Rhinolophus ferrumequinum: one gene and its partner. The protein of the gene in region 1 interacts with the protein of each later gene in a pairwise test. Links are inferred from orthologs where the notes say so. Each region holds a gene or a part of one and is shown in the gene's direction. Other genes may lie near its edges. The genes, in order: DCX and ZBTB5.

What was found.
Region 2: the proteins of DCX (region 1) and ZBTB5 interact in binary tests that used the Homo sapiens proteins (3 or more experiments, as listed by UniProt). The two-hybrid records come from large-scale screens. The link is inferred for Rhinolophus ferrumequinum from reciprocal best matches to the Homo sapiens genes DCX and ZBTB5.

What each region holds. Positions count from the first base shown.
Region 1 is NC_046284.1:42,664,975-42,681,281, forward strand, and holds the start of DCX (neuronal migration protein doublecortin), read left to right. Parts: upstream 1-9,847; 5' UTR 9,848-9,899; intron 9,900-11,641; 5' UTR 11,642-11,663; coding exon 11,664-12,027; intron 12,028-16,307. UniProt on the Homo sapiens protein: Microtubule-associated protein required for initial steps of neuronal dispersion and cortex lamination during cerebral cortex development. May act by competing with the putative neuronal protein kinase DCLK1 in binding to a target protein.
Region 2 is NC_046295.1:53,161,766-53,178,570, reverse strand, and holds the start of ZBTB5 (zinc finger and BTB domain-containing protein 5), read left to right. Parts: upstream 1-10,180; 5' UTR 10,181-10,308; intron 10,309-11,391; exon of another isoform or gene 11,392-11,691; intron 11,692-11,947; 5' UTR 11,948-12,035; coding exon 12,036-12,037; intron 12,038-16,805. UniProt on the Homo sapiens protein: May be involved in transcriptional regulation.

The sequences.
Region 1 (16,307 bases):
CTTCTCAAAGGCAAAAGTCCGGGACCAGATGGCTTCACTAGTGAATTCTACCAAACTTTCAAAGAGGATATAACACCAATTCTGCTCAAACTCCTCCAAAAAATTGAAGAAGAAACAGTACTCCCTAACTCATTTTATGAGGCCAACATTACCCTGGTACCAAAGCCTGGTAAGGACAACAACATAAAAAGAAAGCTACTGGCCAATATCTCTGATGAATACTGATGCAAAAATCCTAAACAAAACTCTAGCAAATCGAATGCAACAATGGATTAAAAAGATTATTCATCACGATCAAGTGGCATTCATCCCAGGGGCACAAGGATGGTTCAACAGATGCAAATCCAACAATGTGATACCTGACATAAACAAAATAAAGGACAAAAATCATATGATTTTATCAATTGATGCAGAAAAAGCATTTGACAAGATACAACATCCATTTATGATTAAAACACTTAATAAAATAGGTATTGAAAGAAAATACCTTAACATAAAGGTATTTATAAAGGCCATATACGACAAAACCTTAGCTAATCTTATAAGTAACGGTGAAAAACTGAAGTCCTTTCCTCTACGTTCAGGCACACGACAGGGCTGTGCCCTATCACCTCTGCTTTTCAACATAGTGTTGGAAGTCCTCGCCAGAACAATCAGGCAAGAGAAAGAAATAAAAGGCATCCAAATTGAGAATGAAGAAGTTAAATTGTCACTCTTTGCAGATGACATGATGCTATATATAGAAAACCCTAAAGACTCCACCAAAAAGCTATTAGAAACAATCAACTGTCCCGACCCGCAGGACACTACACGAGGGACCCCGAAGTACCTAGAAGGGAGGAAAATGGGAGACACAAAGACCGAAGACAGGAGTTCTGATCAAGTCTCTCTTTATTGCAGCTCAATCATGGGTTATATACATTTTTGTGCTGGGTGGAGGGGCATTAACGTAAGCAGGGTTGCCGCAGGCTGATGGTCTTAAACCCTCTGGACATACCCTACAGAATGTGGGTGTTATCTAAAGACCCAAGTAACTTCCTCTATCTCATGCTTCTCAGTCATGTGATGGTGCCTTACAGGCACCCGCCCTCTACAGGTCCCCCTTTTCTGTTTTATAAAAAAGAGCTCTGAGCCCCTAGGGAACTGTGCCTGTCTTAGGTTGGGACAGTCCATCTCTGTGAAACCTGGTACAGCGACAGGTTTTTGATTTTTTATGTTACTTAGAGAGCTGTCCTCTTACCCATCATTGGATATCCAGTTCATCTCACAGGGGAGGAGTCCTGTTTTATGACTCCTGTTATTGGAGATAGGGATCTCCTCGCTCTTGCATCTCCAGTCGGGTGTAATGGATCTGTATGGGCTTGGCCTGCAAGGCCTCTATTTGTTGTCTGAGAAAGCGCATGAGTTTATTGAGGAGTATGGGTCCCAGTGATAGTAGGATAAAGCACCCGAGTATGGGGCCAAGCAGGGGTAGTAAGTAGGGTAAAAGTCCATTGAATCCGGTCCAGAGAGGGTTGGAAAGGAAAGGCGGTCTCTTCTTCTTTTTTCAAGGTCTTCTTGTAATTTTTTGACTCTGTCACGAACAATTCCAGATTTGTTAGCATAAAAACAGCATTTTTCTCCGAGGGCCAGACAGATGCCCCCTTTTTCTGCAGTAAGTAAATCTAATCCCCTCCTGTTTTGGAGGACAACTTCTGCTAGGGAATCAACCTGATCTTGAAGATCTTGGATAGTTTCTGAGAGTACCTGACATCTGATATGAGTTGTCCAGATAATTTATGGTATTGTACTAGGGAATGTCCTATCCCCGCGGACCCGGTGGCAAGTGCGGTGGTGATGCCTAGATAGACCCGCTAATAAGGGAATAAAATGGACTGCATGTTTAGTGCGTCCTGCAATATGTTCGAAAGTCGGGATAGGGACTGGCTCATCTCCTGGAATGATGGATACATCTGGGAGGAGGGAGCCTAGGGTACAAACTCCTGTCCAGTTTTGTGGTAAATAGGTGTAGGCATAATTATTTCCACAAATATATACCGATCCATTGGGTGCACACATAGGAGAGGATACATTAATGAAGGAGGAGCAATTTGTAAAGGAGAGGCTTCCTAAATTAACCTCTGTAGTATCGTTTTGAGTGGGAGAGAGGATGCACGGGGTATTGTTAAAGCCAAGGGGTTGGACTAAAAAAGGGAGAGCTATGTTGCATGAATTATTGGTAGTAGAGGTGACAAAGGGGTAGGGTATAGCTAATGGTAAAGGGGTGCCTTGTAGTAAACACAGCCACAGTCTGTGGCGTAGGATGAATTAACAGAAAGCAATAACTTGTGGGTAGAACTAAGAATGTCAAAAGTCTGGGGATCAATGTCCACGTGACCCGGTTTTTTAGGGTGGGCCAAAGGGTGATAGGTAAGTTTAGGGTTAAGGGTCTTTTGTATTTCAGCAAATTTTTTAATGCGTTTTTCATTGGATTGGAGATCGGCTGGACCCCCGCCGTCAGAAACATATGGTATAGGGGATTCGATCTGCCAGCAAAAGAGCTTATTAGAGGGATAATGGTTGTCAATGTGCCCTAAGAAGGAGGCGCAGGCTAATAACCACTGGTCTGTTGTTTGTAAGAGCCAATTAATTTCTGTTTTTGTTTAAGGTTGAATGATTATGTCGGGCTCCTTACCGAAGTATCGGCGTCCGTTTTCTCTGCCAATTGTGATAAGTTTTGCAACTAACAAATAATATGGTATTTTAGTTTTTTCGTGGGAGGCAGGGAGATGCGACCACATCAAAGGTGCTGTTTGCCAAAAGACACCGGTGGGTGTGTGTGGCGTGGCACAGATGATAAACCTAAGGGGCTGAGTGTAGTCAATAAAGGTGATAAATTGTTGACTGATGGCCTCTTCTACTCTTTTTATCGCAAGCAGACCTTCCTTAGTTAGCTTGCGTGGGGAGGTTGGGTTTGAGTCTTCTTGTAATATATCAAAGAGAGGTTTTAGTTCTCCTGTAGTAAGTTTTAAGTATGGACAGATCCAATTTATATCACCTAATAATTTTTGGAAATCGTTTAAAGAGTTTAAATGGGTGGTTTTGAGTTGAATTTTTTGAGTTTTAATATATTTACCCTGGAGTTTAAAACCAAGATAGGTGTAGGGATCTTATAACTGAATTTTATTGGGAGCTATTTGTAAGCCTTTGTTTTGTAGGCTATTGACAAGAGCGTCACAGCACAAAAGGAGGTCAGACCCATTCTTGCCAGCTATTAAGATATCATCCATATAATGAATAATATAAAAAGAGGGCCACTGAGTTCGAATGGGATCGATGGCCAGAGCAACAAATTTTTGACACGGTGTCGGGCTGTTGGCCATGCCCTGAGGTAAGACCTTCCACTGAAATCTCTGCATGGGCCCTTGGAAATTAGTTATAGGTATGCTGAAAGCAAAACGTTGTCTATCTTGAGGGTGTAGAGGGATAGTGAAGAAGCAGTCTTTGAGATCAATAATGATTTTTAAGGATCCCGAGGGAATAGCTACAGGGGTAGGTAGGCCTGGTTGAAGGGTGCCCATAATTATCATTGTTTTATTGACTTCCCTAAGGTCTTGGAGAAGTCTCCAATTTCCAGATTTCTTTTTTATGACAAAGATAGGTGTGTTCCAGGGGGAGTTACTGGGCTCTAGATGCCCTGCCGCCAATTGTTCCTGTACTAACTGATTGGCAGCATTTAGTTTTTCTAAACTTAGTGGCCACTGATCCACCCATATGGGCGAGTTGTCTTTCCAGGATATAGGGTCAGCATGGGGTGCAGGTTGGTCAGAGGCCACTAGTGAAAATGTCCTAAGCCTAATCGAGGCGGGCGCTGGGCAGTGGATAGGGGTTTTTTAATTCCCTGTCCTTGTTTTCCTAATCCCTGACCTGGGAGAAACCCTTGTTTTAACATCTGGGTGGTTATCTTGGAATTGGGGCTGAACATGATTACTCCCATTTGGGATAATATGTCACGGCCCCACAGATTTACTGGGAGGTTGGGTACAACGTAAGGTTGTACTGTGCCAGAGTTATTTTCTTTATCTAGCCATGTTAGGAACTTGGCACTTTGTTTGGGGTTAGTTGTTTGTTCTATGCCTTGTAGGTGAGTAAGTGTGTCAGAAAGGGGCCAAGAAAGCAGCCAGTCTTCTTGTCTAATAATGGTTGCATCAGCACCAGTGTCAATAAGGCCTTTAAAGGTTTTTCCATCAAGTTTTAAATCTAGCATGGGCTTATTGGGGGAGAGATTTTGAATCCAATAAGCATCTGAGGATCCAAAATTTTTGTTGTTTCTTGGCTCATTGTTGGCAGATTTATGGGTGGTTAACCAGAGGTCATCTAGGGATTGTAAAATTGAGAGTGTAAAGGGGGCCGTGGGGCCATATTCGTCCACCGCTTTTTTGAGTTCTTTTGTGGTTTTTAAATCAAGGCGTTTATAGTGTCTGGCGGGTTCTTTATTGTCTCTGTCGGGGTCTTCATCACTATCTGCACTGCCTCCTTCAGTTTTTATTGGGGGGAATTCAATAACAGGGAAAAGATTAAGAGGGTTTTTTTTATTTGAGATGGGAAATTTTTTTGTAGGATTTATGGAAAGGGGGGAATTTTTTGAGTAGCAGCAGAGGAGAGTTGTAAATCTAACTGTTGAAGTTGTTTAAGGAGAGTTAGATGTTGTTTTTTGAGTTTAACGGTTCTTTGTAATTGTTGGACTTGGTGGGAGAGGAGAGTTTGATCAGGATCGTGGATAGGAGCTAAAGGCATTTGGGGATTATAGGGAGAGGGCAATTGATTAGAGGCCAGAAACTGCCAGTCAGGATTATGATATTTAGCGGCAGCTTCCTCTAAATCAGCCTCATCCTCAGGGCTTAACTGATCGTCCTCAGGTGGGCTAGAATTTACATTAAGATCAGGACAATTAGGTGATAGGGGAGGATATAAGGGCTTACTAGGATCTTTTTTGGTGGTCTCAGGATCTTCAGGAGGCATTGAAATAGAAATAGAATCTGAATCGTGGGAGGACTTAGAAGAGGGGTCCTGTAAGGAGGAGGAGGGGCGGGAAGCGTTTTGTAAAAATGTGTTTCCTTCTTGTAACACTCGGTCGATGTCAGGGGTGTAGCGATCTACCATAAGTAGCTCATTAATGCAATGCCAATAAGTGAAAGCAGTGATGGGGATTTTTTTAGGGCCAAAAGTTTTATAAAAGTCATTAAGGGCATCTCCAACCCTTTTCCATCTTTTGTGGTCTATGGTTTCTTCCTGAGGGAGCCAAGGGCAAACATCTTTTAAGAAATTAAAAAAAGATAACTAAATCTTTTTTCTTGACTTTAACTCTCCTTATTTGTAAGGACTCTTTTAGTCCTGAGATAAACTTGTCATGAACACTAACCTCTTGTCCCATTATGATAAGGAATAAAGACTCTCCTCACGTAGGCAGTCGGTTGGTACAATCCGCCAACACGGACCCAAACGAGACGGCACGGATGGTAACGACCCGCAGACGAATGTCTTTTGGGACTCACCCGGCCGGAGCGACGGGGGTGTTGGGGTGAGAGGAGAAAAAGCCCTTACGTGAGCAATCGGTTGGTATAATCCGCCAACACGGATCCCGAGAGGTGACGCGGCTGGTAACGACCCTCAGGCGAAAGCCAGTCGGGACTCAACCAGTCGGGAAATCCTCTGGGTGGACGATTGGAGCTCAAAGTAAGCAGGCAAAATCTCGCTCAAACGGTCCCAAACACCTAGAAAACTGTCTCGTTGGTGAATGACTAAAACCCAAAGTGAGCTGAGAGCAGATAAAAAGGGAGACTGGGACAACAGGTTAGGGGAACCCTAGTCTAAGTGTCTGAGGGGAAGCCTGTAGACTATACATAAGTCTAGAACACAAATATATGTCCCATTTTTTGAAGGAGTCGTCCGCTTACCTTTACAGATCTCCCACAAGTTGGGTAGTCTTATGGTGATCAAAGAAGAAATATGCTGCATCTCCTTAGACCGGACGAACTCAGGCGTCTCATCTGCTAGGAGACTTCAGGCCCCACGTTGGGCGTCAGTTGTCCCGACCCGCGGGACACTACACGAGGGACCCCGAAGTACCTAGAAGGGAGGAAATTGGGAGACACAAAGACCGGAGACAAGACAGGAGTTCTGATCAAGTCTCTCCTTATTGCAGCTCAATCATGGGTTATATACATTTTTGTGCTGGGTGGAGGGGCATTAACGTAAGCAGGGTTGCCGCAGGCTGATGGTTTTAAGCCCTCTGGACATACCCTACAGAATGTGGGTGTTATCTAAAGACCCAAGTAACTTCCTCTATCTCATGCTTCTCAGTCATGTGATGGTGCCTTACAGGCACCCGCCCTCTACAATCAACGAATACAGGAAAGATGCTGGCTACAAAATCAACATACAAAAGTCCATCGCATTCCTATATACTAACATTGACATCTCAGAAAAAGAAAAAAGAACAATTCCTTTTGCAATTGCAGCAAAAAGAATAAAGTGCCTAGGAATAAACTTCAACAAGGATGTGAAAGACCTATATGCTGTAAACTATAACACATTTTTAAAAGAAATTGCAGAAGACACAAAGAAATGCAAAGATATTCCGTGCTCATGGATTGGAAGAATCAATATAGTTAAAATGGCCATATTACCCAAAGCAATATACAGATTTAATGCCATCCCCATCAAAACCCCAGTGGCATTTTTTAAGGAAATAGAACAAAGAATCATTAGATTTGTGTGGAACCACAAAAGACCCGAAATAGCCAAAGCAATCTTAAGAAAAAAGAACATTGCTGGAGGTATCACTCTCCCTGACTTTAGCTTGTACTACAGGGCAAGAAGAATCAAAACAGCATGATATTGGTAGAAAAAGAGACATATAGAACGATGGAATAGAATTGAGAACCCAGAAATAAAACCACATAAATATGGACAGATAATTTTTTACAAAGAGCAAAAAACATTCAATGGTTAAAAGACAGCCTCTTCAATAAATGGTGCTGACAGAATTGGAAAGCCATGTGCAAAAGAATAAAACTTGACTGATATCTGTCACCATGTATCAAAATTAATTCAAAATGGATCAAAGACTTAAGCATAAGACCTGAAACAATAAACTGCATACATGAAAACATAGGTACTAAACTTATGGAACTTGGGTTCAAGGAGCGTTTTATGAATTTGACTCCAAATGCAAGGGAAATAAAAGCTAAAATTAATGAATGGGACTATATCAAACTTAAAAGCTTCTGCACAGCCAAAGAAACCATCAGCAAAATAAAGAGGCAACAAACTGAGTAGAAGAGTTTTGCAAACAGTACCTCCAATAAGTGGCTAATATCCAAAATATACAAGGAAATCATGCAACTGAACAACAAAAAAACAAATAACCCAATTGAAAAATGGGCAGACGACCTGAAGAGACATTTCTCCAAAGAGGACATACAAATGGCAAAAAAACATATGAAAAAATGCTCAACATCACTAATCATCAGAGAAATGCAAATAAAAACCACAATGAGATATCACCTCACCCCAGTCAGAATGGCTATCATCAACAAGACAAATAGTAACAAGTGTTGGAGAGGCTGTGGAGAAAAAGGAACCCTCATACACTGTTATTGGGAATGCAGATTGGTGCAGCCTCTATGGAAGGCAGTGTGGTGATTCCTCAAAAAATTACGAATAGAATTACCATATGACCCAGCAATCCCTCTCCTGGGTATCTACCCAAATAATCTGAAAACATTTATCCATAAAGACATATGTGTTCCAATATTCATTGCAGCTTTATTTACAGTGGCCAAGACATGGAAACAATCAAAATGTCCTTCAATAGATGAATGGATAAAAAAGTTGTGGTATATATACACAATGGAATACTATTCGGCTGTAAGAAAAGGTGAAGTAGGACCATTTGTGACAACATGGGTGGATCTTGAGATTATAATGCTAAGCGAAATAAGTCAGACAGAAAAAGCAGAGAACCATATGATTTCACTGATATGTGGTATATAAACCAAAAACAACAAAAGAACAAGACAAACAAATGAGAAACAAAAACTCATAGACACAGATAATAGTTTAGTGGTTACCAGAGGATAAGACGCGAGGAGTGTGGTAGATGAGGGTAAGGGGATCAAATATATGGTGATGGAAAGAGAACTGACTCTGGGTGGTGAACACAAAATGGGATTTATAGATGATGTAATACAGAATTGTTCACCTGAAATCTATGTAACTTTACTAACAATTGTCACCCCAGTAAACTTTAATTGAAAAAAAAAAAAGAATAAAGTCTATTCCAAATCCTTAATGTTTAAGTTTTAAAATTCCACCCATTCTTATATCCTCACTGGAAATTGAATGATTTTGAATTGAATGCAAAATCAATTGCTGTATATTTACGGAATGCTTATGATATGCAAGAAAAAAATAATTATGACACTGGCCTTGCTGGACAAAGAAGTTTCAAGCGTTGATAGGAATTTCCATATTTCCCTGCTCCCATTCTTTGATATTTCTCTTCTCCTGACCTGACTGTCCCTGGGTTTTCTAGAGGTGGCCTCAATGTTATGCAGAAACAAATGGAAGAGAACAGGAAACATGCATGCAATCCCCTGAGGGACTTACTTAGAAACCGGGAGAGCAGCAACAAGGTGTTAAATGGACTTGACTGCGCAGGTTGCACACTTAAGGCTGACCACCAAGCTAGGCTTTGCTGATCCAACACCTTCCAGAAAAGGAAAATCATAATTTTTATCCTATTTCAAGGTAAAACACGTGCATGGAAAGTGCTTTACTGTAAATCCGCAACAGTTATATGTAAAAAAGAGGGTCAGTTGTACTAGGAATCAGATATAAGATAATTACTGAGCATACTATTAACTCTGAGATTCCTGGAGGCCAAGTAAAAAATGGAAACATGTAGTTAAAGACTGTTTCATATTTATGTATGTAGCTTCAGTTGTGAAGATAGTAGCACACCCCGCTTTAGTCTCTCACCTTTCTCTTTTTCTGTCTTATAATTTGGCTACATTACTTAATTAAATTTGGATGCTTCCTAGTCCCTTTTAAAACATTTGATATAAAGAAGTCAATTAGAAACAAATAGGCAGTTTGATGAGAGAGAGTTTAATATTTATCTTGTACCATCAGACTCACTTCACATAGAAAGGTCTCTGGATTGGATTTGAACTCTCAAACTCCCGAAGGTAAATGCCACAAATCACATTAACCAAATTACTACATGAAGATGAAAGTTCTATGGGGTCTTTTCTCAACTCTGTCTTCCATGAAATTCTGGAACTCTTTTCCTTTTTCTTGTCTGTTTCCTACTTCCTCTTAGTCTACTCCTCTGTTCTCACTTCAAAAATAACCAGTTGTTTGATGCGTAAACTAAAATGCCTTAAAGAATTTTCAGATTTGATTGTTTTTTTCTCAAGAAGGTGAAAGAAAGAGAGCTACAATTTCTAGGAAGCCTGGTTTGACTGAGTCCAGCCCCAGGAAGATTAGTTCTAGGTTTGGCAAAGTGGAATTGTCTATTCCCTAAAAGAAAAGGCTAGCACGTTTCTTATTAGAGCATTCTGCACTTGCTTGTGCAATCTTTTTGTTATCCTGCAATTTCCTGTTGGTTATAATGAAATCTTTCTAGCTATTAATGCAGCCTGTGAATTGAGAAAAAAAAGCATGTAATTAATCATAGGAGATTTGGGGGATTCACTAAGTCTGAATATAAGGGAGATGTTGGACAAGGCACTAGGACCTAGAAGGCATCTATCCACCCTGGCAGGAATTTCTTGCTTGGAGCTCAGACAACAAAGGCATAGAGAGATTGGTTTTCTTTCTCTCAGCATCTCCACCCAACCAGCAGAAAACCGGTGAGTGGGGCATTTGAGTGATTTTCAGGGAGAATATAACAAATGTCAAACGGGAAAAGCACAAGGCAAAGGGTGTACTCTCTCTCTGTCTTTCTCTTCTTTTTTTCCCTGCCTTGTTCTCAGATTTTTCCCCTAAGCCTCTACCTGGGATTTTCCTTTGGAAAAGTGAGTTTGATGTTGCTTTGTTTTCACTGTAATGTTGATGTAGAATAATACCACCCCTGACCTTAAAGGAAAGCCAAGGGTTGCTGCATGCCTGGGGAAATGCTTGCTACTTGTCTTGAGGAGGTGGGGTCTCTTTCCACTGCAGGTTGTCTGACAGAGACAATGCTGAGCTCAGCACAGGTCATGGTGACATTGGAAGGAAAGGGGGACTGAGCCTGGCAAACCTACCAACACTAGCCCTCTTTTATCTCCTGTGTCCGGGTCCCTTGCAAATATCTCAATGTGGCAGTGTGTAGCAGCTGAGCCCTGCTTGCTTTGTGAGCCCTTTCATCCCCATCTGTGAGATGCATGTTAATAGTCCAGTTCCTACGCTGTCATTAGCTTTGCTAGCTTTTGAGATTTCTGTTGTATTTCATTACATGTTTTGATTTTCTTTCTTTCTTGTTTTGTTTGTTTGTTTTTGGTTCAGCAGAAGGGGGAAAGCAAATCTGAACAGATGACCATCTTTTTCCTAGCTAACATACCTGGGCAATAGACAAGTTTGGGGGTGAATTGCCTGCTCTGAGGGCAAAATGCCCCTTCGGTCAGGGTAGAAATCCAGAACAATGAAAGGTGTGCTTGCTTCTAATGGTCCCATATGCTGTTTTCAGGGACTCATTTGGGAATCTTTCAACAATCAAATTATTCCATTAAGAGGTAGGGCTGCATCAGTGGGGAGGGGATAAAGCACTGGGAAAAAAGAAGAAAAGAAAAGCAAAGAAAAGGATTTTGTGACCAAATTGTACCAGAGGGAAACAGCTTATAACTTGTTAAATAACTGATTTTTCTAATCCTTTTTGTTTTTCAGCTTATTTCTTGTGAATCTTGGATAGCTGCACCAGCTTGGTGGGGAAAGGGTTTGATGAATAGCACAAAGACACTGGCTATTCCCTAGAGGCTGTCCCTTTAAAAGAAAATCCTAGTTCATTCTGGTGGGGGGTGAGGTTATGCACACATTAGAGTAGGAAAGAGGGTTTGGAATAAAATTTAAAAAATCCACTTCATACTCATTTTACTGATATGCAAAAATCGCTTCCTAAGCTGGAGATACTCACCTTGGCTACCTCCTTCTGTTGTCTTTAAAGGGCATTCTGTCAGGCTCTGGATTCATTTACAACTGTTAGTCATGTGAACATGTATGAGGAAACAGATACCAGTTTTAATGTATTTAGCCCAAAGTTACAATTTCATAAGAGCCACTGTCAGTAGGTCCCAGGATTTTAAGCTATTTCAAAATCCCTCTCTCTCCTCTATTGGAATAGTGCCAAAAGTGCCTCCCTCTCTATCTCTTGCCCCAACCCCCACAACCACCAGCACCCTCTTAGCCCCTCCTTTTTCTCTGTTAAGATCAATATTCCTGCAGGTCAGGGGCAAGCAGCAGATGGGTCAGGGGATTTTTTTCAACCAGTTCTTTTCACAAGCAGCAGATTGCAGATCTGGATCTGGCTAATATTTGAATTCCTTTCTTTTTTTTTTTTTCCCTCCCCACCACTTTTTCTTTGCCTTTTTTCTCCCCTGCCTTTTTCTCCAACACTCAGGTCTCTGACGTTTTATCAAAATATGGAACTTGATTTTGGACATTTTGACGAAAGAGATAAGACATCCAGAAACATGAGAGGCTCACGGATGAATGGGCTGCCTAGCCCCACTCACAGCGCCCATTGTAGCTTCTACCGAACCAGAACCTTGCAGGCACTGAGCAACGAGAAGAAAGCCAAGAAGGTACGTTTCTACCGCAATGGGGACCGCTACTTCAAGGGGATTGTGTACGCTGTGTCCTCTGACCGTTTTCGCAGCTTCGATGCCTTGCTGGCTGACCTGACTCGATCTCTGTCTGACAACATCAACCTGCCTCAGGGAGTGCGTTACATTTACACCATTGACGGATCCAGGAAAATTGGAAGCATGGACGAACTGGAGGAAGGTAATTAATAAAGTGGGTGGTGGCCCTTGGTGGGAGATGGCATCATTGGTTTTGGTAATATTTCTTGGATTTTAATGAAATAAATTAGGAAATAGATTTGAGAAAATACCAGGATGATGCTCAGGCTTTTGATTCTATAGGCATCAACAGGGCCATCAGCCATTATCCCTCATGGCTTTCAGTCTCTGCTGGGTTGAATGTAGATGGTGGTGATAATGCATTGTGCTTATCCGCCACGGTTCACAAAGGAATATTTGAAGTGTCATTGACTCAGAATATGAATTGTTGTTCAAAATTAACTCTAAGTAGAACTATGGAGGCAGAGTATGAAATCATTAGGGGTATTAAATGAGCAAAGAAGTCTGGTTGGGTTAACAGAAAGAAAATGTACTCAAATATTCTTTGAACTGCTAAGAGACTATTTGTGAACTGCAACTCATGGAAATATGCACCCTAAACGCAGGATTTCTTGGACATATTCACAAAGGATTATACTTTTAGGTAAGTGGTTACTGCTCAGCTGTTGCTTCTAAAAAGCCCACATCAGGGTGTGTCCCTAAGGCTGAGGTCATTGAGAGAAATACCAAAGAAAGCTGTAGGTATGCCTGGTATTTTAATACACTATTCCTATTAGAATATGAACTGACTCACTGTACCTAAATCCCTTTAAATCCTCTCTACATTTTGGTTTTGCAATTGAATTTTATGACTAGATTGCTGAAAATCTTGACAACCTCTGTATCTACCCCAAAACAGGGAAAATCCTCACTCTTGCCAAAACTTGCTAAGCCATGAAGTCTTCTTTTTGTGCTCATTTAGAAAATAGATGTTGGGATGTGTTTATATATTTTACTTTGTCAAGTCACTTATATTGAGGATGCCTCCCTACCCCCACTTTTAAATTGGTATAACATATGTGATCAGTTTAACCTGACACAATGCTTTAGAGGAGAACCTTAAGGAGTGGTGATAATGAAAATGGCCCTGCCCCCACAAACTCTCTCCCACCTTCCAGCCCTCTCTTCTCACTCCTTCCATTCCCTGAGCAAAGGTGAGTTTACAGCAGGCAGGTCTCTAGGGAAACCAAATTATGAAACAGCCGACAAGGAAGGAGAAAAAGCATATTCAATGAATTGGTGTGGGAGTGCCCGTCTCCCTCCGCTTCACTGCTTGTAGGTTTCTTGTGTTCCCAGACAAAGGAGCATGAGGGCTTCCCTTATACAAGATCACATTGTCACACGTAACTGCTATTTCCCAAGTTAGGTCAAGTGATTTGGGGCCAGTTACTTTATAAGAGACAATATCCATATGGCTATTAGATCTGGGTCTCAGGGTTCAAGTCCAAGGTTTTTCTACATAGTTGACCTTGAAAAGCGATGCTGAAGAGGCTTAAATTATTTGATCATGTGCTGAATGGCCAGGCAGTGGTTAATCCTAGGCTTCTCCTGAACATTGAAGGATTGGCCATCCTAGTGTATATCTTGAAATAAAGGAGAGTCAGGGCAAACTTGAAGGGTTTGAAGCTAGGCCGAAGGAGCTGTCCAACAAAGTAATTGATAAGGTGAGTCTTTTGTCACTGTAAAATACATATCTCAGTCAAATTTGAGGGTGTTCTCTGTAATACTTTTCACAAACAAAGCACCCTGAATGTAGCATATCCTCATTTCCCAGTATGTCCTCATTTTTACTAGCTGTAATCTTCTAAAGACCATGATAGACACTATGGCAGACTTCTGAACCAAATGACATTGTATTCAGAGCAAGGATTATACTGTTCTTGGGTCTGATATAAGAAAGTTGTCATGCACAAATCCTCCCACCCACAATCTATTTTTTAACATGTCTTGCTCAAAGACAATTCCTTGATATTGATTTCCACCCCCCCTGGATTTGTGTGTGTGTGTGTGTGTGTGTGTGTGTGTGTGTGAGAGAGAGAGAGAGAGAGAGAGAGAGAGAGAGAGAGAGAGAGAGAGAGAGAGAGATGATAATCTTAGTTCAATATAGATAATAAAAGTAATTTTGAAGACTGTAGCTTCCTTTTCTTTTGATCCTTTTAAGTCCTGTTGAATTGTACTTTTATCATCTACCATTCCAGGATGCTGTGGTAATAATTCCTGTGAATTCCTTCACTATGTAGAGTGTGCTTATGGCTCAGTTGCATTTATCCATATGTCATTTAAAACCACAAGCTGCAGAGGCTCTCAATGCCTCCCCCTACTCCTGAGTACTGCCCATTCAGTCAAAGAAATTCTGGATACCTTAGGATAGAATTGAGAAATGTGACCAGCTTTCCCACTACTACCACAGAGCTAGATGGGAAAGGGCATTGGAATGAGGAGGATAAAGATAAAGGGTATTTTTCTCTCCTATTTTTGTCCTTTGGAACTACTCACCTAGGAATGGAGGACAGGAGTCTCTTACTTTGTTCGCTTTTGGAAGAAGTTAAATGAAAGATTACAAAATTCATATACATTGCTTTCCGTGAGACTTCAAATTGAAACAGTTTGGTAAGGTCCCTGGGTGAAGAATCAGAGGCATTGGGTTCAAGTCTTGGAGGCAGAAGATTATAATGGGAGCAGTCTTTGGAATCAGATTGAGTTCAAATCCAAGATTTGCCACCTGCTAGCTTATGTGTCCTTGGTGAAACCATTTTGACTGCCTGAACCTCACATTTTCATTTGTAAAGTGGGAATAACTGCTTTGAGAATTAAATAAGACAATGGATATTAAATGTTTAGTATTATGCCGGGCACACAGTAGCACTCAATAAAGGATAGCAATTATGTTTGAGCCATCCTAGTTTGTAGCTGGTTAGCTAAATGACCATAGGTTTGGACTTATCATCACTGTGACTAATATTCTCTCTTTTATTTATTTATTAATTTAAAAAAATTTTCAATTACAGTTGACATACAAATTAATTTCAGGTGTACAACATAGTGATTAGAGATTTATATAACTTACGAAGTGATCACCCTGATAAATTATGATGCTCTCTTTTTAATTTATTAAACTTATTAGGATGACATTGGTTAGTAAAATTATATAGGTTTCAAGTGTACATTTCTGTAATACATCATTTATATATTGCATTGTGTGTTCACCACCCAGAATCAACAATTCTCCTTCCATCATCACCATGTTTGATCCAATGTTCTCTTTTTTAAAAACAACTATTTTTAAAAGACAACTTTACTAAGTTATAATTTGCATACCATAAAATTCACCCATTTAAGTGTAAAATTCAATAATTTTTCGAAAATTTACCAAGTGGTGCAACCATCACCATAATCTAGTTTAGGCCATTTTCATCACCCTGAAAAGAAACCCTGTACCAATTAGCTGCCACTGCTCATTTCCCCTATTCTATCCAGTCCTAAGCAATAATTACTCTACTTTATATCTCTACAGATTTTCCTTTTCTGGACATTTTATATAAATTGAATCATACATTATATTCTCTTTTGTGACTGGCTTCTTTCTTTCACTTATAAAAAGATGTTTTCAAGGCTTATCCATGTTGTACCATTTATCAACACTTTATTCCTTTTTATTGAGGAATAATATTCCATTGTATGGATAGATCACATTTTGTGTATCTATTGCAATATTCTTATCTATAAAATGAGACTAGTAACAGCTGCCTTCTTTATCTATTAAGGTGGTTGTGAGGATAAAATTAGGTAGTAATTATGGAAACACATTGACAAGATAAACCTATAGCTACAAGGTACCATCATTGTTAGTGATGTAATAATAATAATAATAATGGCGATGCTAGTGAGGGGTTGGAATGGCCAGTGGTTCCCAAACCAGGCTGCCTTTAAGAATTTTGTAGGGCTTTACAAAAATATAGATTCCTGGGCTACATCTCAGATCTATTGAATTAGAATCTGCAGGGCTAGGGCTCCAGAATCTATGTTCTCACAAATCTCCCCAGGTGATTCTTGTGAGCACTTAAACTTGGGAAGTACAGTACTTGATTAGCTGATCTTGATGGTCCCCTTCAGCTAACTACAATGGTGAAAGTTCCTAGGAATGTAGAAATTCTTGTTTGTGTTTTTTTCTTTGTAGATCTAGGAAAATTTCTTTGTAGGAATAATGGACCATAGATCATACTATGTTTCCAAATGGCCTCATTAAAATATAGCCTAAAATGAAATGAAATAAAAAGCAAACATTTAATAATCACTCTGGCCTTGTGGCACTCTTTTGTCTAATGCCTCTAGTCTACAGGCTGCTTCTAGATACTGAAAGTAACCAGGGGAGAAATTTAGACT
Region 2 (16,805 bases), on another chromosome or scaffold:
TGATGACTCATCACCCCTGAAGACTATAGCATTTCCTTAGAAGGGGACATTCCCTAAATAACTACATACAGCCATCAAAATCAGGAAATTAATATTGATATGTGACTACCATATAATCATCATACTCCATTTAAGTTCACCAACTATCTTAATATTTTTATAGCAAAAAGATCCTGTCCAGACTCACATGTTGCATTTAGCTGTCATAGCTCTTTAGTCTCCTTCAACCTATTAATAGAACAGTTCCTTACTCTACTTTGACTTTCATAATTTGACAATTTAAAAGATTACAGGCTAGTTATTTTGTAGAATGTTGCTCAGTCTCGGTTTGTCTAATGTTTCCAAGTGATTAGTTTCAGGTTATGCATTGTTGGCAGGAATATCACAAACATGAGACTGTTCTAACTGTATCCTATCAGGTGGCACACAATTTCAATTTGTCCCATTACTGTTTATATTAACTTTGATCACTTAATTAAAGTGGTATCAATCAGGCTTTACTACTGTAATGTTATTCTTTCTCCTTTGTAATTAATAAGTATTTTGTATGCAGGTACTTAGAGACTAAGTAAATCGTATCCTGTTCATCATACTTCTGATTTATTCACTCATTAATTATATCAGTATGAATTTATGGGTTCCTACTTTATTCAGTAGATTAGAATATGCTACTATCATTTATTTTTATTTTTATGTTCAAACTTTCCCAGATTAGGCAGTGGGAACCCCATCAAGCTGGTTTCTGAATCATCACTAATCCTAGGAGCCTAGCATAGGGACTGGAACTCAAGATACTTAATAATATTGGTTAAAATGAACTTGCATTGTGTTTACACATGGTAGATTCTCTGTATGTGTTGACTGGTTGAATGAAATATGAACAGTTAGATCAAAGTTAAGGGGTGACAAAGAAGACAGGAGGGTCTACAAGGAGTCAATTGTAGTTCATGAGGGAAGTGTCCTGGCCCCTCCTGATAAAGGGACATATTGTATGACCTTGCTTCTCAAAGTGTGGTCCTCAGGCCAGCAGCATCACCTGGGAACTTGTTAGCAGTGCAGAATCTCCTGCCCTATCAAGTCATCTGAATCAGAATCTGCACTTTTAACAAGATCCCTAGGTGATTTCTGTGCACTTTATGCTTGGGAAGCACTCTTGTACAAGACTGTTTCCCTTTCAAGGTGCATCTTTACCAGTCAGACAAAGTCTGTTCAAGTCCTCAGAATTGGCTGTTTATAGCTGGGTGAAAGAGCCAAGAGTACCACATATGGAGTTAGAGCAAAGACTCCCAGAATTACCACAGGCAAGAATTCAAAGTGACAGAGATTCTATCTGGGGAAGGAAAGTGTTAATGACAGGATGGTTGAGACCGGGACTATGTTGTTTAGTTATTTCGCAATGATTCAAAACACATATACACCATATACATATAAATACACATATACATTAAGTGGGACAGGACAATATTTGGTCACTCAGTCAGTGACCAAAATACAAAAAGTTATAGTGACCTCTTCTAAATTCGAATCAGGGTAATCACGGGCAGAATTTACCATAAATGTTTGTTTGTAAATTTGGTTTGGAAATTCATCGACTTCTGGAGTTGTCTCTTAGCATCATTTTTCAGAAGAGGAAAACTTGATATATATTTTGAAAGTAAGGGATGAGGCAGAATCCTCCTTTCCTGGGGTAATATCTCCATCTGCTGGCATTTCAAGATATCGCTAATGAAGGCCTGAAAAGGCAGACAAGATCCCACAGTATGTTTGTAGCCACTCATTGTGTACTGTCAAAAATGTTTCTTCTTCTATTTCATCTTTTCTCTTCCTTTCTTCTGCCTCTGCCTCAATTTTTTATCCCTTTGTTTCTTTTTCTGTGTTTGTCTCACTCTTCTGTTCTCCATTCTGTTTTTCTCTTCCTTCATATTTCTGATGTAGATTCTGTTTGTACACCTATAGACATGGACGACTCATTTCTTATAAGGCAGACTTTTCACCTTGGCTAGGTTTTTCCTTACATGGAGCTGAAGCTGCCTTCTGTAGCTTCTACCTGTGGTGCCAGTTCTGCTTCTCTAGGGCCACACAGAACACGACCAACTCCTCTGCCCTGAGCCCTTCAAAAGCCTGACTACTCTGACCATACTTTCCACTGACCTGCTCCTTTGCTCCTCAGCAACTCTTTCCAGCCCCTCAGCTATTTCACACACCAGAGTTCCTAGGTCTGTCTTCATCTGGTCACCACTTTGGGACATACATTAGTACATCTGGATCTTTTTCAAACTGGAGCACCACATGGATCAATACTCCAACTCTGGGCTGGGTAACACAGAATAAAGAGGACCCATCTCCTCCCTTCTGCTATTTGCCATGCCTCTCTTAATGAAACCAATATGTGAATTTATTCTTAGCATCTACACTGTTCAGTTAAGTTGTTTAGGGTTGATAAACCAAAATTCTTGATTTTGCTTCTGCTAAGTCACATTATCCCTGCATTTTTTATTTTTTTTATTTTTTTAAGGAGGGCGCACACACTGGCCCATGCGGGCATTGAACCAGCAACCTTGGTGTTATTAGCACCACGCTCTAACCAATTGAGCTAACTGGTAACCCCATCCCTGATTTTTTTTAAAAAACAAAGATTCAGAGCTTTATGTGAGGCCTAAGTTTAATCGTGTTAGATTTAGCTTACTCAGATTTTTTTATTTTTCCCAACATTTTTTAGATTTACAATAATTATCAAAGCAATTTTGATGTCCAATATTGGGAAAAATACAGAAAAATATAAAGAATGCAATTATAGTAACCCATGATCCTTTCCCCACCTAGAGGCAAACATTGTTAACATTCTGTTTTATTCCTTTCTAGATTTGTCTCTCTGCATATCTGCATATGTTTATATAACTGATACATTATTGTATTCAATTGTGTATCCTCCTTTTAAAAATTTTTAAATAATCTTGTAAGCATTTTCTCAAATCACACGATAGTCCATTGAATGTTGCCACAGGGTTTATACATCCAATGCTTTAGTTGCTCACTTGGGCTATTCCCAATTTTCTCACTGTTACATGCAACATTACATGAACTTTTTAAGCATAAAAACTTTGTTTGGGTTTTTTTGGATAAATTCTTTGGTTGGGATCCTAGGATTTGAATTAATGAGTCAAAGAGCATGAACATTTTTTTTAAATCTTAATACACTGTCAAATTTGACTCCAAAAATTTTCAGATCTTTTAAGCGATCTGCCTTCTAACACTACCCAAGACAATTTGGAAGATATAAGAATAAAAATACACAATGCTTGGCCTCAGGAATTACTTGCTAGGAGGAACACAAAAATGGAAAAGAACACTCTTAAGGGTGGATACTGTTAAGTCTTTAGAAATTCTCAGTTCAGTCAGTTTCATTGCTTTATTTGTTTTGAATCTTTGTTACTAGGATTATACTCATTCAGGCTTATTATCTCTTCTTAATGAATTAACCCTTTTCTCATTAGAATTGTCCTTCCTTATCTCTCATAACATTCCTTGTCCAGAAGTCCACTTACCTGATCTTCAAATAGTTATTCTGGCTTTCTTATGATTGGTGTTTGCATGATACATCTTTTTCTATCTTTTTACTCTTAACCTATTTGTATTTTTATATTTAAAACAGGTTTCTATGGACAGCATGTTCCATGTTTTCTTCTTTTATAGTTTGGTTTCAAAAGGTTTTAATATTTCATTCATTTGATAATAAATTTGTTGTAAGAAGTTAGATAGATACCCAATATATTTTTTCCAAAATACTTCCCAGTTTCACAGGCTCAAAATTTAATCTATATTTCTTCCATTGCTTTGAAATGACAACTTTTTCATACATTAAATTCTCTTATATATTTAGGTCTATTGTGGACCCTCTGTTTTGATCCACTGAATTGTCTGTCTGTTCATATACCAGTACCAAGTTTTGGGGTTTTATTTATTGTGGCAAAATATACATAAAATTTACCATCTTAACAATTTTAAGTGTACAGTTCGGTAGTACTAAATACATTCATAATGTGAAACCATCACCACCATCCATCTCCATAGCTCTTTTCAAATGTGAAACTGAAACTCTATATCTATTAAATAATGACTCCAATTTCCATCTCACCCAAGCCTCTGGCAACCACCATTCTACTTTCTGTTTCTATAATTTTGACTACCCTAAGTACCTCACATTAGTGGAATCCTACTTAGCGGAATCATCAGTATTTGTCTTCTTTTAGCTGGCTTATTTCACTTAACATAATGTCCGCAAGTTTCACCCATATTATAGCATGTCACAGTTTCCTTCCTTTTAAAGGCTGAATAATATTCCATTGTATGTATATATCACATTTTGCTTATCCATTCATCTGTTGGTAGACATTTGGGTTGCTCCCACATTTTAGCTATTATGAATAATGCTAATATGAACATAGGTATACAAATATCTGTTTGAAATGCTGCTTTCAATTCTTTGGGTATATACCCAGAAATGGAATTGCTGAATCATATGGTAATTCCATTTTTAAAATTTTGAGGAACCGCCATACTATTTTCCATAGCAGCTGTACCATTTTACATTCCTACCAATAGGGCATAAGGAAGGGTTCCAGTTTCTCCACACCCTTACCATCACTTGTTTATTCTTTATGTTTTTGAAAGTAGCCACCTTAACAGGTGTGAGGAGATATCTCATTGTAGTTTTGATTTGTTTCCCTAATAATCAGAGATGTTTCATATGCTAATGGGCCATTTGTATATCCTCTTTGGGGAAATGCCTGTTCAAGTTCTTTGCTCATTTTGGAGCTACATTTGTTTTTTGGTTGAGTTTTAGTTCTCTAAATATTCTGGATATTAATCCCTTATCAGATATATGATTTGCAACTATTTTCTCTCATTCTATGGGTTGCCTTTATATTCTGTTGATATTGTCTTTTGATGCACATTTTAAAAATTTTCACGAAGTCCAATTTGTCTATTTTTTCTTTTGTTGTCTATGCCTTTGGTATCATCTCTAAGAAATCATTGCCAAATCCAATGTCAAGCTTTTATCTTATATTTTCTTCTAAGAGTTTTATAGTTTTAGGTCTTACATTTAGGTCTCTGATCCACTTTGAGTTGTTTTTTTAAAATAATGTTAAGTAAGGGTCCAATTTCATTATTTTGCAGTTTTCCCAGCACCATTTGTTGAAAAGACTGTCCTTTTCCCGTTGAATGGTTTTGGCACCTTGTCCAAAATCACTTGATCTTACATGCCTGAGTTTATTTCTGGGCTCTCTATTCCATTCCATTGGTCTACGTTTGTCTTTATGCCAACACCACACTGTTTCAATTACTATGCCTTCATAGTTAAGTTTTTAACTCAAGAAATGTGAGTCTTTCAGCTTTATTTTTCTTTTTTGTGATAGTTTTGGCTATTCGAGGTTATTTGAAATTCTATGTGAATTTTGGAATGAGTTTTTCTATATTGGCAAAAACATATTATTGGGATTTTTTATAGCAATTGCATTGAATCTGCACATTGCTTTGAGCAGTATTGACATCTTAACAATATTAAGTTTTCCAATCCATGAACATGGAATGTGTTTCCATTTATTTATGTCTTCTTTAATTTCTTTCAGTAATGTTTTATAGTTTTCATTGTATAAGCCTTTTACTTCCTTGGTTAAATTAATTCCTAAATATTTTATTCTTTTTGATGCTATAGTAAATGGAATTCCTTTCAAAATTTCCTTTTGAGATTGTTCATTGTTAGTGTGTAGAAATGCAACTGATTTTTGTGTATTGACTTTGTATCGTTGTAGTTGGCTGAATTCATTTATTAGCTCTCACAGATTTTGGGGGAATCTTTAGGATTTTCTACATATAAGATCATATCATGTGCCAACAGAGATAATATTACTTCTTCCTTTCCAATTTGGATACCTTTTATTTCTTTTTTTCCTTAACTGCTCTAGCTAGAAATTCTAGTATTATGTTGACTAGAAGTTGTGAATGTGGGCATCTTTTCTTGTTTCTGATCTTAGTGGAAAGGCTTTAAGTCTTTCACCATAGAGTATGATGTTTGCTGTGGATTTTCACATTTTTTAATATGTTGAGGTGGTTTCCTTCTACTTCTAGTTTATTGAGTGTTTTTGAAAAGGTGTTGAATTTTTGTCAAATGCTTTGTCTGCTTCAATTGAGATGATCATGTTTTTTTTTCTTTATTCTTTTAATGTGGTGTTTTACATTGATCAATTTTGTATATTGAACTATCCTTGCATTCCAGGAATAAAACCTTCTTGGTCATAATGTATAATCCTTTTAATATACTGCTGAATTCAGTGTGCTAATATTTTGTTGAGAATGTTTGCATCAATATTTATAGAGGACATGGGTCAGTAGTTTTCTTATAATGTCTTTGTCTGGCTTTGGTGTCAGGGTAATTCTGGCTTGATAGAATGGGTCTAGGAAGTATTCCCTCCTCTTTAAGTTTTTAGAAAAGTTTGAGAAAATTGGTGTTAGTTCTTTAAATGTTTGGCAGAATTCACCAGTGAAGCCATCAGATCCAGGGCTTTTATTTGTCAGGAGATTTTTGATTACTGATTCAATAGCATTTATAGCTATAAATTTCCCCCTTAGTACTGCTTTTGCTGTGTCCCATAAGTTTTCATCTGTTGTATTTTCATTTTCATTCATCTTTAAGTATTTTCTAATTTCCTTTGTAATTTCTAATTTGACCCATTGGTTATTTAAGAGTGTGTTGTTTAATTTCCACAAATTTGTGAATTTTTCAGTTTTACTTCTGTTATTGATTTCTAACTTCATCCCATTGTAGTCAAAGATACTTTGTATGATATTCATCTTTAAAAATCTATTGAGACTTAATTTGTGGCCTAATTTGTGGTCTATTTTGAAAAATGTACTAGGTGCACTTGAGAAGAATGTGTATGTTATTTTTGTTGCATAGAGTGTCCCATATATGTCTATTAGATCCATTGGTTAATTGTGTTAAGTCCTCTATTTCCTTACTTATTATAATCTCTCTGGTTGTTCTGTCCATTATTGAGAGTGGGATATTGAAGTTTCCAATTATTATTGTAGAACTATCTATTCTCCCTTCAATTCTGTCAGCTTGTGCTCCAAAATCCCATGGAAGTCACTTCAGCAGCAGGGGGAAGGGCTTGTAACAATGAAGGGGAGGTACAACAACAATGGCTACCTGCCTCTTTGATCTGCATCTCTGTGATCACAAGCAGCAATCAGTGATCTCAAATATTTGGAGGACAGGGTCCTTTTTGTCCACTGTGGCTCCCACAAGCTGGTACAAACTGCTCCAGGAACCCATGCATAGCAACTTGCCATGTGGCTGAGGTGTGGAGGATGGGTTTCTTCTCCTGTGCTGAGAGCTAAAATTGACCAAAATTAACTGCAATTTACCTTTCGAACCCTTCCCTAGAAGTTGCAGGCCTTCAATAGACTCCTGAGTTCCAAAATAGTTACATTAGATAGATTCTGCCCTTGCAATTGTCTGGGTGGGGAGGCAGATTCTTGGTGCTTCCTACTCTGCCATCTTTGCTGAATCATCTCTCCCTTTTTTTTTTTTTTAAACATAAGAAAGTATTATAAAATATATTTGTAATTGTTAGGGCTATGGCTGTCTTGTTGATTTTTTTCCAGAATTTTCTTCGCTATTCCTATAATACTGTTTTCCTTTATAAATCTTAGAATCAGTGTGTCTAGTTCTAAAAAAGTATCTTATTGAGACTTTTATTGGGAAATTTATAGCTTAATTTAGGAAGAATTTTGCTAATGGTTTGAAAACCCACACAAACTAAAAGTCCTGGTTTTCATAAATACTACTAAAATAATAAAGCTTTTTATAAACATTATATTAATACAGAAGTATATAAAGACTATAAACTAAGAAGGCCATCTTAAAACATTTCCTTATCACTGCCCCCTCCCCAACACCCCTCACTGAGGTAACTCATGAATAGCTTGATAGTATCCTTTCACACTTAGCCATACATTTACAAATTTTTATGTGTACGTCCACATGCAGGTTTTCATTGATTTTGTTTTGTATGTATATGAGATCATTAGTGATGGAGCCATAAAATGCATGTATCAATTTTTTGTAATCCTCTGTAGTTGCACATTCAGCTTTTGTTTCTCTCCTACTAACAAACCTGTGATCAATGGCTTCCTATATATTCTCCTACATTTGTGTATTTCATCTAGGTTAATTTGTGTATTTCAGAATACGTTTCTAGAAAGGAATTGCCACCTAGAAGGGAATGAATGCATATTTAAAATTTTGATAAGTACTACTAAGTTATCTTCAAAAACAGTGTCAATGATACTCCCATCAACAATATAGGAGGGGGCCTTTTCAGTACTCTCCTACCGGGTTTCCCCCAAAATAAGACCTAGCTGGACAATCAGCTCTAATGCGTCTTTTGGAGCAAAAATTAATATAAGACCCGGTCTTATTTTACTATAAGACCCGGTATAGTATAATCTAATCTAATCTAATGTAATCTAATCTAATCCTGGGTATGATATAAGACCGTGTCTTATATTAATTTTTGCTCCAAAAGATGCAATAGAGCTGATTGTCTGGATAGGTGTTATTTTCGGGGTAACACGGTAAGTACTGAATATACAAATATTTTAAGCTTTTGCCAAGTTGTAAATTTGAGATAATATCTAGCTCACAGCATTTTTATAAGGGTCATGTGTGAAAACACCTCACACACCGTCCAGCCAATCTGGCAATAAAACATCTGTAAAGGCTATAAAGTGTCAGGGAATCTTAAAGAACAGAATTTACCATCAGACTTCATTGAGGCCTTACAGAAATCCCAAAGGCAATATTTCCAACCTGTAACGTCTGAAGAGATGGATCAGCTGTAATAATATTTGGGTGTTAACCTCTGACACAGCAGGACGTTCCTTTAAAAAATAGTGTCTCCCTTCTCTCCCCCCAAAAGAAGCTTGAGGCAGTCCCCAGCCTGACTTTGTCTCTGGAGCCACGCGGAGTTCCCCAACAGCTCACTCGGGAAGGCCCTTTACAAGCTTTCTTCTCTCCTCTTCACCCGAGGAAGGAGGGCTTCTTCCTGCCCCAGTGCCTGGTGCCCTCCGAGGCCACGCGGGCTGGTCTCCCTCCGGGATCGTGCTGTCCATCTGAGAGTGCACCTGGGATCCCGGGAGCCGTTCCAGAGCTTGCTCTTTTCTGACAGCATCCCACAGAAGTCCAGGACCGTCCAGGTGTCCAACTTTGTTTTGGGGTAGGTTGGTTTTGGAGACTGCAGGCTTATGGGCCCTGCGGCACGAACTGTGGATCAATGAGCGAGCAAGTTGGAAGCCGGTACCTGCTGGTCATTCTCAGGTTTCAGAATTGCGGGAAGCCAGCCCAGGGACTGGACTTGGGGCGCTGTCGGACTAAACTGCCGTCAGATGGATGTTTGCCAGATTTCGGCTAATTCAACCTAAACAGCTTCTTGGAATTTTATTTTTCCCAAAGTCCACGACGTGAGAAAGCCCCCGACGCAATATGTGTGAGTCTCGCGAAGGCCACTCGCTTTGGAGGAGGAGCCGGGGGTCACAGAAGGGCCGGTGTCTGGAGGGTGGGGATGTCCTCCAGGTCCCGCGAATGGTGGGACCGCATTACCCTGAGGGCCCGCCTCCTGGCAGTCGTGGTTGTGAGTGGTGGAATTAGGCGGAAAACTCGCTTGCCTCAACCACAACGTGATTTGATTGGCTACGACACACATTAGCTTTTTCATAGCCCAAAACTAACGCCGCTTAGTGATAAATCCCGCCTTAAAGGCGTTTGATAACAGTTTTACGTGTTGTAAAGCAAACGGTGATTGGTCACAGCGCTCACGGATTCAATCGTTAGTAAACACAGCGAGGCTCCCGGGACCATGGATTGGTCAGCGTTCTGGTTCGGCCTAGTCAATTCCTCCGGATTCCGCACGCCGGCTGGCTGCTCTCCTGCCCGGGCCTCGCCCCCTCCCTTGCTGATTGGTTTTAGTTTGGCCAGAGGGGAGGAGGCGGAGTAGGTGCTCTCGCATTGCGTCACTTCCGTTTACTGTCGGCCGCCGCCGCGGTGTTCTCAGAGTGTGGCGGCGAACGGGCTGAAGGATCTGGGGGACGAGAGGCGGGGTGGGTGGGGAGGGTGGACGGAAGGGGGAGGAAATCCCATTACCGAGACGCCAGCCTGGACGTTCCCGCCTCCTCCGACACTGTCGGGTCGGATCGGGGAAGGGTCACTGCCTCCTCCAGCGAGAAGGGGGGCGGAGCCCGGCTCAGGTGAGAAGACCCTGTCACAGCGAGTGGTGGTGGCGCGCGCGGGCGCGTTCACGTGGAGACGGTTGAGCACCAGCGGTGCTGGGCTGGCGGCGCAAGAGGGGTCGCGACAAGGCATCTGGGGAGCGCGCAGACGCGTACCGGTGTCCCTCGCCTACTCTGTTGTCTTTCTGAGGGGGTATTGTTACCCTTCAGAGCAGAGGGGCCAGGAGGATGGGAGGCGGGTTCTTCTGCGCAGGCGTCCCCTGTGTCCGGACGCCTGGTTGTCTGCGGGGTGGGGCGGGGGCTCTTGCCCCCTCGGATCTGCGGGCTGAAGGCGTTGGTTACTGGGAGGGAGGGGTCGGGTGGGGTAGGTCTCCGGACCAGCAGCCTGGCGGGGTGAACGGAGAAACTGCCTCCCTGCGGGATGGGGTCGAATGTGGCTTCCTTTCCCCCATCCTGGGTGTCCTTGAGCAACAAGGTTTCATTTCACCAGGGCAAGGCCAAGGCGGTCTGGAATCGGGAACTGGAGGCTGACCCTGGAGGGGTGGAGCTAGTGTTTTGGAATGCCCCAACTTGTTATCAGAGGAAAAGTGTTTATAGGCATTTATTGAATGCCCACTACTTCCAGGCTTCGTGTAAGAACAGACGTTCTACCTTCTCCCCTTGTTTGGAGGCCAGGCAGATCTGTACAAAAATATATAAGGCAGTGCATTGAGGCGTGGGGGCAGGGGCGGTGTTGACGGTTAGGTTCTTTTTTCCTTCCCAAAGTCATTTGTTATTAAGTCAGTCTGCATTCTGGCATAGTGGAGGGTACTGTAGAAGCTAATTTCTGAAAAGAAGACAAATTCTAATTTAACTTGGAGAAAACATTTTAAGTAAAAACATGGTAGTTTTGATTACCAAGTAGTATGCTTGGGTTCTGTTAATTTGAATGAATAGGAGAAACCCTTCACCTTCAAGAATTGAAACAAAATTTTTCCATATTCTGTTAACATACTTTTCAGTTGTAGTTAGTAGAAGATATTACATACAGTGGGATTTTTCTTTACAAGTTGGAGAGAGTGCTGTGCCTTCGTCATCATTGATGATTTGTTATTTTTGTATGGGTTGTTGTGCTTTAGATAATTTTTAGAAGATGGACTGGGCGCCTCTGTCTTCTGGAGAACTTGCTTTTCATTTGCTAAAGTCTTAGGATTTCCGTGGTGAGGGTGGTTGTCCATAAGCTTAAAGAATAAAGTTGGGGGCAGGGGGAGGAAGAGATCAGATGGGGAGAGAAGAAAGAATTTTAGAGAAACGTCCCTAAACCAAGCAAAGGCCTGGCATTATTGCTTTAATCCCTTTGGAAATCCCAGCAAACTTGGGAAGACTGGCCTGGCCACCGCACCCAGCTTTATGACCTGCCAGGTAAGACGCTTTGGTTGGAGACTTGTTCTAGGCCCTTGGATTTTGCTGAATAAGTGAACCAGGACTTTTAGAGTCCTGAAGTCAACTTGTTTCCTGCTCCGCCATTTTTCTTTTCCAAGTTGTGTCAAAACATAGTGTAGTTAGCTGGAGATACTGGCAAGCTGTGTTCTGGGTAATTGAGGTGTCTAGCAAAATTCTGAAAATGATAAGATATGGAAGAAAAACATCTTACAATGGAGTGTTTTCCTAAATATAGGGCTCAGTGCTCTCAAAAGAGGCTTTGTCACAAGACTATGGTGAGAAGTTGAAGTCGTTTCACAAAAATCACTCGGATACAAAAATGCATGTAAGTGTTTTAGTGTTTAAAGTACTTAGCATGAATTATATTGAGTTCTTCAGTGTGTGTACGGTCAGATATGACAAAGCTTGCTGTGGTGCTGACACAGAATCTTGAATCTGCCTCAGTTTCTCCTTGGACAGGGAAAAGGAAAAGCCCAAGGTATTGATTCCATGTTAGCTTTCAACATTTTTTTAAATGTAAATTTGTTGTAAAATAATTTTCCTCCTCTTCCAGTTTTAAGCATATGATTTCTCTTTTACTATACTTACCATTTCTCAAATACGGATGTTGTCTAGTAGAGCCAGCTTTTGTTAGTGTAGCAGGTGGGATGGAATGTAACACTACACTGCACCTTTTGTTTAAGTATTCAGTGAACTTATGTGCTAAAAGACCAGCTGTTTCTGAGTGAACTATTGCTCTTACAGTTGTTTTCATCATTTTCATCACTGAAAGTGACTTTTAATTTCAAGACCAATTTGGGGGAAGGGGTGCCTTTCACTTGATTAATTATGCATATATTTGCTAAAAGCTTTGATTTATCTTTCTCACACTTCAAATAGATTAGGAATTGCATTGGAGCACTGACTTTATTGTAATAGAGTAGTCATAGATAGATTACTTTCTTAGTATTCAAGATTATATTTTATCTGTAGATACTTTTCCTTCTGATCGTCTAACATATTTGAATGATATGTTTAAGGTTCTAGTATTTCCTTGATTGTAAAACAGTTTTGTTCCCATTTTAATCTTGAAGACAGGATGCCATCAGTAAGCGTTATCCTATGGCCTAATTGACAGCTTTTTTTTCCTTTCCTAATGTTATATGAAATATGTTGCATTTTATAATCACTGGCATCTTAGATTTAATGACATTTGGTACGGTTAAAAGACTTGTACCCAGTTAATTCACTTAATTATAACCAATTAATTTTCCGAATTTTCCTTTGTACTCTGAAAAAAGTTTGCTATTGAAAGGAATCCTATTGGAAGCAATACTTGTTTCTTATAAATGGAAACTAACAAAGTTTTGTTTCTTTTACTAACTTTAAAGGATGATTGTCTGGTGAGTCTGCTTTTGGAAATTATACTTGGTAGTCTGTTACTTTGTGTACTTGATAACAAGTTTACAAATGCTTTATTTCCGACTTCTTAAGTTTAAAATGAGTAGGGAGAATTGCTCCCCCTTTTCTTCTGAATATGATTGTTAACTTGTGATAACTGATTTTTCATTATATCGTAATTAGTCGATTATAATTTGAAATCCACTGAACAGTCTTCTTCTAAATATGCAAGACCTTCAATTGTTTAGTCCTATTTTAGTCTCTACTAGAGGATTTGAGGAGGACAGGGAGAAGAAAACCCACTGTTTGGGGGTTCAGTTGTGAAAAGAACCCACAGATGGTACAAAAATCTAAACACATTTAATAACATACATTGTATTCTTTGAGTAGAATGTCAAAAGTCACTTGGCAGGTAAAGTATCAGTCCCTTGCTGAATGCTATTGATTTGACAAATGATTCAGAAATAAGGAATATCCTACTTAGAAAGTAAACTAGGTATAACAACGAATTAAACCTATTTTTCATTTTCTTGACTGGAAAGGCATCATCACTAATGGTGTCTTCAATGCTTTGGCATGCTTTTTTCTTGATAAAATAGTTTTTGTTCATTAAGAAATATGTTTCTTGATCTGTCGGGGTAAAAGGCAATGAAAGCTATTTTTTTAAATTGCTGAAAAGGTTGTGTGTACGGGGGCAACTGGGGGGTGGCAGGCAACATTTTCTAAATAACAAAGGGAAAATACATTTAGACTTCTTAAGCAGATGTTAAACTAGATATAGTTCCAGATTTATAAGTAGCTAAAAGAAGTCACTTATGGTGGTTTTTATAGATTTTGATATGCTTATGAAGTTTGTATGATCTTTAGAGTGTTAACTGGCTCCAGATGTTCTTTCATCTAGAGAGTCAGCTAGCTGGCTATTCATTTTACATTTTAGAAAAATGTAGTACCCAAGAAAGGGAAATTTCTAGACCAGTTACAGTGTAAGTAGAAAATTCTAAACAGGATAAAGCAGTGAAATGTGTCATAAGATACTTTTAAGTTTAAATACAGTGTTTTCAGTCATGTAACTGTCTTGGACACGCCCATCCTTCAGACAGCACTCCGCTGGTGGCCCAGCACCTTGACAGACCACCTCCCTGACAGGGGTGAGCAGACCAAGATTCTCCCCTTATGACAGGTGAGCCTGCTGCCAGGAATGTATTTTGTGACCCTTCCCTTCTCCCCAAAGCTCTGGTCCCTGATTCTTGTTCTGCATCAGCATCATGGAAGGCAGGTTTGGGGAGGAGCCAATGGCAAGGGACACTGGGAAGAGAAAGCAAAGCTCATCCTACATCCTCCTCACCTTCCAAATCAGTCTGCTGGCCGTGAAGGCTTGGCAGTGTGGTCGGTGATTTTGGCAGTGTGGTCGGTGGTGGTGGCATGCAGCGTTGGAGGATTTGAGTAAGAGAAGAGAAGCCCCTCCTGCTACATCTTCCAGAACGCTTGCTCTAATTTTCACTCCCTTAGCTGTTATTTTACGCACTTGTCTTTTCACTCTCACCCCCGATCCTTGACCTTGACCCCTGCTCTTCAGCTTCATCCCCTTACTCCCTCAATCTCCTAATCCTTATTCCTAGCCTTTGCTCACACTCGTAAGTACGTAGTGTTCTCTCCTCTCCTGAGTATCCTGTCGTCATCCACCCGGCCCATGTCTATCTGGGGGCTGCCCACATTACAGCAAAGTGAGGTTTCGTCGTCAGATCTGGATTTACAACTCTTCTCCTTCACTCACTGCACTAGTTGGGTGTTGTCGGCCCTAGACACCGGATGACAGTCCTCCCTAAGAAATAATATACGTGAAGTACCTACTGAACCTGGCGCTTAGTTGGCATTCAACTCTCTCATTCCCACCCAACTAATCCTGCACCACCCAACTAATAGATGTCATCATGGGAAGGGGTGCGGTGTTACTGGGACCGCATAGGTGCTCTGACAGTTGGCGACAATAGTAACAGGTTAAAGGCACGCTTCGTGATGATCCTGGAAGGTAACACTGAGAAAATGCCAGGCAATTCATTTCACACACTTGAGTAGCATAACATATGAGGATGTGTAAATGGAAGGCTGCCTTTAGTCTCACTCATCCTATATATTTGAAGAATGAGACTCCACATACATGCATTTTCTGTATACAGGTATGTGAGACGTCTACTTCAGTGGCTTTCAGACTTTTGACTTTAGGATTCCTTTACACATTTAAAAATGATTCATGACTCCAAAGAGCTTTTTTGTGGGTTATAGCTATCAGTATAAAACATCTTAGAAATTAAAATTGAGAAAAAGATTTAAGCATTCATTAAAAGTGATAAGCTCATTACATGTTAACATAAATAACATATTTTTATGAAAAATAACTATTTTCCAAAACAAGTGTTTAGTAAAAATAGTGGCATTTGGAAAAAAAACTTTATTTTTAGAACAGTTTTTGATTTATAGAAAGATTGTGAAGACAGTTCAGAGAGTTCCCACATACCAACACCCAGTTTTCCTGTTATTAACATCTTACCATTAGTAGGGTGCATTTGTTAAAATTAATGAACCATTATTAATACATTATTATTAACTAAAGTCCATTCTTTATTCAGGTTATCTTTAGTTTTACCTCTTGTCCTTTCTCTATTCTAAAATCTTATCCAGGAAAACACATTTAATCAGGCATCATGTCTCCTTAGGCTCCCCTTGGCTGTGACAGTTTCTCATACTTTCCTTGTTTTTGGTGACTGATAATTTTGAGTGCTGATCACTTATTTTGTAGAATGTCCAATTGGGATTTGTCTGATGTTTTTGTTACGATTAGACTGGGGTTCCAGGTTTTGCAGGGGGAAAGACCACAGAAATGAAGTGCCATTCTCATTACATCAACACATGATGCTTACTAATGTACTTAACTGTCAGCATGACTTGTCACCTTTGCTGTTGCCCTCGGTCACCTGGCAGAGGTAGTGTTTGTCAGATTTCTCAAGTCTGAAGTTCCTCTTTTCCCCTCCCTTTCCGTACTGTCCTGTGGAAGGAAGTCATTGGGCATAGCCCACACTTAAGGAGTGGGGAGATATGATCCATGTCCCTGAGGGCAGAATAGCTACATAAATTATTTGAAATTCTTCTGCACAAGAGATTTTTCTCTTCTCTCCCATTTATTTATCGAATCCATACTTTAAATCAGTATGGACCTATGGATATTTATTTTACACTTTGGGTTATAAACCAGTATTATTTTATTTATCTTTTTGCTCAAGCTGTTCCAGCTTTAGCCTTTGGAAGCTCTTTCTCCTGTGGAGTCCTATGTCCCTCTCAAGTACTCCCATTATCTTGTTTGTTTGTTTGTTTGTTTGTTTTAAGCACACCCTTACTTTCTGGCACTACAAAATTCTGCAGGCTTATCTTGTATATTTCCTGCCTCAGTCCAAGCATTAGCCATTTGTCCAAGGAGCCCTGGTTCCTTTTATTGGTGAATGGTATTTGAATCCAACATCTGGGTACAGGGAATGCTCAGAGTGGCCTTGTTTTACTTTTTTTGAAAGTCTCTTTAATGTCTAGTCTAATAGAAGACAGGTGGTTTCTCATACCTGCTTCTGTATTCAATTTGTTGTGATATACTTTTGATTAAAGTATACCAAGAAAATCCAGCATCACACAAATACGTGGTTGGAAAAGGGAGGAGTATTTCAGTA